2 linked regions of the Danio rerio genome follow. The protein of the gene in region 1 interacts with the protein of each later gene in a pairwise test. Links are inferred from orthologs where the notes say so. Each region holds a gene or a part of one and is shown on either strand. Other genes may lie near its edges.

Region 1 (4,384 bases):
GTACCCTAATTTAAAGTTGTTGCCCTGAGGCAACAAACCAAAATCTGGTGGGGGGGGAGCACATTTTGGAATTGATTTATATTATAATAAGAGACCCACAAATTAGGGTACTTTTTGTCCTTGTAAAAAAATATGCCATAGTGCAGAGACCCCTCAAACTAGGGCCTGACGGCAAATGTTGGCCCATGGTAACCTGCTTTAAATGTTGTGAATGAATCAGATTTTTTTTTTTTTAACACAGACGACATCAGTAATTAAGGTAAAATGTATATTTTAGTGTTATAAATGGGATTGTTCATGTTTTTTATTGTAAAATGTTCATTATAAGATGTACAAAGACTGTATAATTATTAATACAATTAGAGTAATTTCAATATAATAAATTATATTATTAATTAAATTATATAATGATAATAATAATAAATTAAGAAATTATATTGACAACTTTACAGTTTAGTATATTTACCTCTGGCCCAAATCAAGTTTAGTTATTGGCCCTTCATAAGAAAAAGTTTGGGCACCCTGCCATAGAGGGTAAAAAGATAAGAAGAAGAAAACAGAGATCAGTATGTATACTTTACATTCTAAATCACAACTAAATATTAAATTTTTCATTATAATATCTTGATTATTATTATTTTATTTTAATGCTGATATCAATGTTATAGAAGAATTTGGGTGGGTAGCTCCAAAAGATTAGTAAGTTTTATATATTTGTATAGCTTTAATTTTTAAATAACTTTTTACATGCTACTCCTATTAATACATTTCTAGAGCTTTAATTACTAATTATGCTAATTATTTAGATGCTGTTGTTTAAATGCCCAATTTGCAGCCTAGACATTTTAAAGGTTTCATGTTTTCTTGTGTGTGTGTGTGTGTGTGTGTGTGTGTGTGTGTGTGTGTGTATTCACGATTTACTGAAGTAAAGTTGGTTTTATATTCACACAGACTAATAATATATAATTACTGAAAAGAATTCTATGCCGATTCTAAAAGTAAGTTAGTTAGAAAATCAAAGAACAACATTGTTCACAGTCAAATAAATAGTGCTAATGTTTTAATATTAATATTTTAATATTTACATTTGATTTCAGAAGGCATATTTTAAAATACCACGGTAAAAAAATATAGGGTGCATATTACATGTTGTCACTGAACAAATGGACGAATATAAAACTAAACCTCAATTCACAAGTCCAGATTTTAAAAATTAAAACTGACTATTCATCCATAACAATTTTACATTTCTGCTTTGTGGCATCAGAGTAATAATAGCACAATTTATTTATAAAATGTACCATGGTACATAATTTATATATACCCATGTACAAAATAAGTCTTGGAACATTTTTTTTTCAGATATTTACAGACCACACAAACAAAATAAAAAACATTATAAAACACATTCATGGTGGTGGTGACAAAAATAATGGCGTTATCATAATGCATAGCATTTGTCTATATATATATATATATATATATATATATATATATATATATATATATATATATATATATATATATATATATATATGATAAATTACAGTTTTATGGATGTGATATTTGCAGTAAAAACTCAAAACATAAATTCAGAGAAAGTTTATTTTAACATTATATTGAAACATATATATTTTTCTGAACAACTGGGCTCTGAATAATATCAGTCTGTAAACAAAATATGTTTATTTTCCTCATTTAAAGTACAGAGAACACTTTAAAAGAAGAAAATAAACATGCGTGATGGATGTGACCAAAAAAAGTATGTTTACAGTATACTTTGTAAAAATTCTGTGAATTAAACTGCACAAGTCAAAAGAAATAATGCTAATCAAAGGATAAGATCTGGCTTACTATAGAAGAAAAAATATTGACAGTATTTTTGCATTTATGAGGAAAAAGTGTCGTTATGGATGTGAAATTCCCACTTGTGTGACTTTGGTAACGTTAAATCAAATAATACTTTGAAAACCATGACAAATACATTTTTGAGTATTTTTAAAGCACTGTAAAATACTTGCTCACACAAAACATTTAAAAAAGGTTTATATATATATATATATATATATATATATATATATATATATATATATATATATATATATATATATATATATATTAACTATTATATACTAACGCACACGTGAAGGGCGAGTAAATGATGAGTCAATTTTTATATTTTCATAATATTTACAAAAGACAAAGGAAATAGATAATATTATAAAACAGTAAAAAAAAAAAACTGGTGGTGGTGAAAAATGTCGTTAATATAACTCATAAAGCTCGTCTTTACTTATACGTAATATTGCACAATACAAAAATATTCTCCCTGCAAATATGATACTGCAGCAGCTAAGATTATAACTAGGTTACAAGCCAAATTTAGCTTAACTCCAGTTAACCATTTCATTTTAGAACAATAAACAACACTTTTTTTTGTTTCGAACATCACAAAACTCTCTTTAAAAAGTCGTAGCTCCTTAAATAGTGCCATTAATAAACCCAGTGGTTTACACTAGTTAGCACAGTACAGCTAACCTGCTCATGTAGCCTGTTAGCTCGCGCCTGCTAACCAACAGCTCAAAAACACAAGAGTGAAATGCATCTAGGCCTCGTTTGTGCCCTTCATGGCACGCAGGACACAATTGAGTCGAAAACAGCGAGATAATGCGCATTTCTTTAATGCAAAGCGCCATATTTTGAAGCGCGAGGAGAGCAGGAGGTGTCGCATGTCAGAATGGTTTATATTACCGTGTGAATGATGAATTCTCGTGTTGTTTGTGAGTATTCCGATAATGGCGTCCTTCCTCGCGAGAGAAAAGCCGGAGCATTGAGTGCCGTTCGCCGCCCTGACTGCGCATGCGCACGGGAGGCGGCAGTGTTCAGAACAAGTGTGCCGCAAGCCTACGTTTGAGTGAAGGTTTCGGCCGTTAGATCGCCCCCTGGGGGCTGGCTGCAGTACAAGTCATAAAGCCCGCCTCCTCCGTGTTAATGAAGGAGACTTGAGCCCAAATAAAAAAAAATATTACACTTGCAATAAAATGTCCCGAAAGATAGTTCTGGTCGATTAAGGCACTGGTTATTGTGCTGAAATAGGTGCAGATCTTCATTTTTGTAAACAGTTTGTTATTAGCAGTAATTTAATGCTGGGCGTGTCATCGTGATTGACAGCTGTGATTTACAGTTTCTCAAAGCGCGGCGTCTGAGCTTCGGCAGGAGACTGAAGTAGACTGAAATGTTATTATTCGATTTCTGTGTTATTTTACCATGACAAAATGAGTTCAGCAGTAAACTATAGTTTCTGACATACATGATCCTGGTGGAACACTGTTTATTCGCTAAGTTCAGGGCTTTTTTCGGGCTTTATTAGTTTGCTGATACACGCCTAGCCACCCAGATAGCAAAACACAGTTCCGGCTAGATTCTCGCCTGCCGGAGACTTCTCTCTTAGAGCTCAGACTGACTAATGTTACCTCTGCTGGACCTACTCCGGATGCCTGGATTCACTGCCCGATTCCAGTCCGAGTCAATCGAGCCAGATGCGGCGGCCGAGCGAGCAGGCGCTGCCGCATGCGAGCCGGAATCAGCCCGCGACGCCGCGAGTAAGTTGTGCGCTGCGGCCTGGAGCTGGCGCGATTGAATATATAAAACCCTCATATTTGTTAACGTTATTACATCCATTTGTGTTGATATGACAGCAAACGCATGCTGAGAAGTTCGGGGGGCGTAGTTGATTTTACATAAAGCGTTTGATTGGAAGCTCGACTCTGCTCATTTTCGCGGCTCCTCCTCTGGCTCCATCAGACAGTCCTTCTGCGCATGTCTGGCTCCAATTTCAGCAGTCTTTTGCGACAGTTTGTGCCCGTCAAGCAGGCGTTTTGCCCTCAAGGCGTTCAATGGGAAAAAGGGCTGTCGCGTCGTCCATATTTTTTTACAGTCATTGGTTCAGAACTGCAGCTTTCAGGACGACTAAACCAAATTGAGTTTACTGATGCTAAAATCTAAAGGTTTTCTACATTTGAACGCGTATTCGAGTATTATCATGTAAACATTCGACCTAAATTTGCATATTAATAACTTGTCCAGCACTATGTGCATTTCACGAATTAATTTGTCTATTAAGAGCTTGTATTCAAAGACGTTGAAGTATGCATCAAATATGTCTTACATCACTTAAACTGTAGGTTATAAAACTATAAAATATGTAAAAATATATATTTTAGGTTAGTCAATAAAGTTTATCTCTATAGGATGTGGCTATTAGTGTGTGTGTGTGTGTGTGTGTGTGTGTGCGTGTGTGTGTGTGTGTTCTGTGGAGATAAAACACACTAATTAAAATTGGGGAACAATTTCAGAAACCTCACAGTTAGTAATCTTAGTCTCG
Region 2 (4,128 bases), on another chromosome or scaffold:
CCCCTAAACTGACGCTGTAGTGAAATCAAATCACCAAAACCAAAAGAAATTTTTCACTTTTGATAAACTTTCCTCCAAGATAACGCTCAAATATTATAATGCAAGTATGAAGAAAATACAGCAATATTTCATAAAGCACGAAAATAGAAATATCCTGAAGTACACATTACACTGGTACAGCTATGCAAGAGAAATTTGAGAGAGTTGTCAAATATACTGTTTATTAAGTTTCCTTCAGCTTAAGTCCTTTATTCATCGGGGGCCACAACCGTGTAATGAACCACCAACTATTCCAGCATATATTTTAGGCAGCGGAAGACCTTCCAGCTACAACTAGGAAACATCCATTCACATATACACACACACTATGGCCAATTTTGTTTACCTGATTCACTTATAGCACATGTCTTTAGATTGTGGTGCAAACCAGAGTTAAATATGCTGTTTGATTATACCAGGATATTAATACAACAGCAAATAACCAATTAGATTTTATTAATTTGTATAGTATTATTCTTCAGGAAAATGACAATTTTTGCTGTGCCCAAACAATCACTTCACTCTGTGACATTACAAACAGACATCTGTACATTGCAAACAGTTGTGATGATTACCATATTTAAAAACTGCTGAAACATTTTTTAGATCACAGAAAAGTAATTTTAGAAAACTATAACAATTTCCAACAAACACGGCATTGTTTCTGATAAATAACACACTGATTTCTGAGGTCATGAGATTCCAAATGTTGACAGGCACATTTTGTAACAATAGCTGGACATCTGTGTCTTTTTGATCAATAAAATACATTATTATTATTATTTATTTATTGTTCAAATAGCTTTTTATAGGTTTTGATTATAACCACTTTAAGGCTACCCTTCCCCATACATTTTTATTAAAAAAAAGAGAGTTAAAGTCAAAATTATCCTTTTTTTTTCCAAATATTTCCCAAATTATGTTTTACAGAGCTAGGGCTTTATCGCGGTATTTCCTATAATATTTCATCTTCTGGGAAAAAAGTCTTATTTATTTTATTTCGGCTAGAATAAAAGCTGTTTTAATTTTTTTAAACCATTTTAAGGTCAGCATTAGCCCCTTAAACAATATTTTTCTCATAGTCTACAGAACAAAGCATCATTTTGATTTGCCTAATTATCCTTGCCTTGTAACCTGATTAACCTTAATTAAGCCTTAAAATTACACTTGAAGCTGAATACTAATAATTAAAAAAATTAAATCAAAGAAATATTAGGCACTGTCATCATGGCAAAGACAAAAGAAATTAGTTATTAGAAATTATTAAATTAAAATTATTATTTTTAGAAATGTGTTCTTCTTACCGATAAACAAATTGGGGAAAAAAATAATTTATATATATATATATATATATATATATATATATATATATATATATATATCAGAATTTACCAGGAGAATATATTCTGTATATTTAAAATCATAATTTTGGCAGAAATATGAAATTTACTATTGTCCTCAAAAATAATTTAATATCAGTTCATCCTTAAAGCAAAATATAGAATCGTGGGATCTTACTTGAGAAGTGGTGGTGGAGGGCTGAAGATATTCACTGGGACTGACTGCGACAGTGGTGGCCATACTGTCCTTTTGATCTGTGAGAAGACAAAGGTAAATCTATTCATGCAATGAAAAGATCAAAACTCTCCAACTGTGAGAACAAAATAATCCAAGACATTTGAGATCATATTAATCTGTAGCTTGCACAATTTTTAAAGCACCACAACATTTCAATCAAAAGTGCGTGAACAGAACTGAAAAAAAAACAAATGCTCTGACTTTTTTGTTCAAAATAAAATAACCACTAACAGCATGCACTTTTTTTAGTTAGGACAAGTGTAGCTAAGGAGGCGTTACCTGAGATAATCTAAACCCCCGAGAGCAGTGATTCAGCGAGGCAGGGTTTAAAACTCAGTCCACTAATAGCACACAGTGGCACTTCACAGTGTAAAATATATTCAATCCTGGTCCTCAAGTGCTGGGCTATTCCAGAATTAGCACTGAGATGCACAGCTTTAGTATATACACATCTATGGTAAACATCCTGAACTGACCCCATATGTGGACAAATATCTCCGGTCACAACCAAAACAAACGCTTGCTGTTATGATGCTTTCTGACGGCTGTCAAAGCGAACAAAACAAACTCGACATGTTTATGTACTGGAAAGCGAACAAAAACTCAATGCGTGCATGTATTTCAATTACATCAATTTTATAGACAGTTTATAGGAAATATTTTGCAAGTTCGATACATTTAAAACTTGTTCTCATAACGTTTCATTCATTTCTGATTTATTTTCCTCAGTATGAAAATCCCGACGGTATCATTAACAGCCAACGTGTGTGTTTTTACACTACAATTTCAACAGCACTGAAGAAAAAAATGTTTTAATGACTATGTGGCTTGATAAAAGATGCAAGCTGCTAACGCTAACAAGCTAAAACGTCAGAAGCCTGCAAGTGGTTGAGCTATGCTAATTGAATGCTTTAAAATATCTCATCAGTTTGATTTTATATTTAGTTTTTAATCAGTCGATCACGTGTTTACGACTTTTTTACGAGCATGCAGACCGCTTTATAAGGGTTATCCTGACTGCGTGCAGACAGACTCAAGAGTGCGCTGATGGAGGAGGAAACTGCTGGCTTAGCATGCTAAAGTGCTAACTAGCCAGATAAACTCTTCGCTGCGGAAAAGAACAGTGATTCCGGAAGTGTGCATTTATTTGAATCGCAGTGCTACGTTTGATTAAAAAAACTCATGCGTGCGAGCTACGATATTTAACATATATCGGTCCGTTCGCTCGTGAAAATGTTTAAGAAAGTAACATTGTAATATAAACATCAACGTTATAATTCCTACCCACCGCTCATGACGACATTCACTCTCCGTGAAGCCTTGAAGAGCCCACAAAAGATACCGCCCCACCGGGGTCTACTGGCCAATCAGGTTACTTGTCAATCATCTAGAGCTAAAAGTGATAACCAATCAGAAAACAGCTTTTGCCTGATTGACATTTGTTCTGACTAATGAAAAGACGTCGTTTTTCTATGACAGTTGAAGGATATATGTTTGACCAATGGGTTGTCGAGTTTTTAGTAGAGAGGCGGGGGTTGTGAGGCTATCAAAATAATGAGGCGAACCAATGATACGCAGGTATGAATTTAACTGACTTTTCGTTTAGCCAGTCAGAAACGTAGAAAGGATATCAATCAAAAGTAATTGACAACAATCGCTATTAATCAACCTTCGCAAATTGTGTCGGTTTTGCCTTGCATTATGAACGCAGGTGGCCGGGCTACTGTGTCTTCTGAAAAGAGTTACAGAACCTAAAGGTGATGGACAAACACCAACATGTTTTAATTCTCCAAAATGAAATTGTTCTGTCTGTAAATGGAGACTTTTGTTTGTAATTGCAATATTAACTTTAGCCGGTACTAGTGTTTAGGCGTTCTTAACTCGTTTACTGTCTGTAACGTTAATGAGAATACAGTTGTGTGTGCTGCTGTCCCATGAAAATGTTTAGGATAACGTTAACCCCTCGGTAAATGTGTGATATTACCAATATATAGTGATTTGAGCAACAAGTTATAGTCATACGAAAAATTAATAAATAAACAAAAGACAATTCAAAAAGTCATGGAAACTATATTTACCTTCGATCGACCCACTAGCCTCAATCAAGTTTGGGTTTTGGCCGTTTGTAAGAAAAAGTTAGGGCACCGCTTGTTTTGGATAGCCCTTAGGTAAAGTAAAATGTGTGACATTACCGATATATAGTGATGCTAGCAACAAGAAATGCAGTTATATAAATTATTGGTGTTATTACAAAAGTATTACTAAAGAAACGCGTTATTTCAGATTCCTGGAATGATTGGATGTGTCCAACAAATAAAAGTATCCAAGTGACTAAAGAATGGGAAAAAAAAAAAAAACCAGCAATTCAAAAAGCAAGAAGTACTTTCTCTATTCATTTGCCAATAGAGATTTACAGAAACTGCTGTTATTTGGTTTGTTTGTAATCTATATCTCTTTTTGGCATAACATAACATTGGTGCCATCTTTTCAGACACTGTAATATTAATTTTT

The links. The genes of interacting proteins can lie anywhere in the genome.
Region 2: the proteins of banp (region 1) and sp2 interact in binary tests that used the Homo sapiens proteins (3 or more experiments, as listed by UniProt). The two-hybrid records come from large-scale screens. The link is inferred for Danio rerio from reciprocal best matches to the Homo sapiens genes BANP and SP2.

Annotation. Positions count from the first base shown.
Region 1 is NC_133200.1:32,852,743-32,857,126, reverse strand, and holds the start of banp (protein BANP), read right to left. Parts: upstream 2,833-4,384; 5' UTR 2,539-2,832; intron 1-2,538. UniProt on the Homo sapiens protein: Controls V(D)J recombination during T-cell development by repressing T-cell receptor (TCR) beta enhancer function. Binds to scaffold/matrix attachment region beta (S/MARbeta), an ATC-rich DNA sequence located upstream of the TCR beta enhancer.
Region 2 is NC_133186.1:12,478,097-12,482,224, forward strand, and holds the start of sp2 (transcription factor Sp2), read right to left. Parts: upstream 2,951-4,128; 5' UTR 2,913-2,950; coding exon of another isoform or gene 2,906-2,912; 5' UTR 1,897-2,905; intron 1,635-1,896; coding exon of another isoform or gene 1,621-1,634; coding exon 1,558-1,620; intron 1-1,557. UniProt on the Homo sapiens protein: Binds to GC box promoters elements and selectively activates mRNA synthesis from genes that contain functional recognition sites.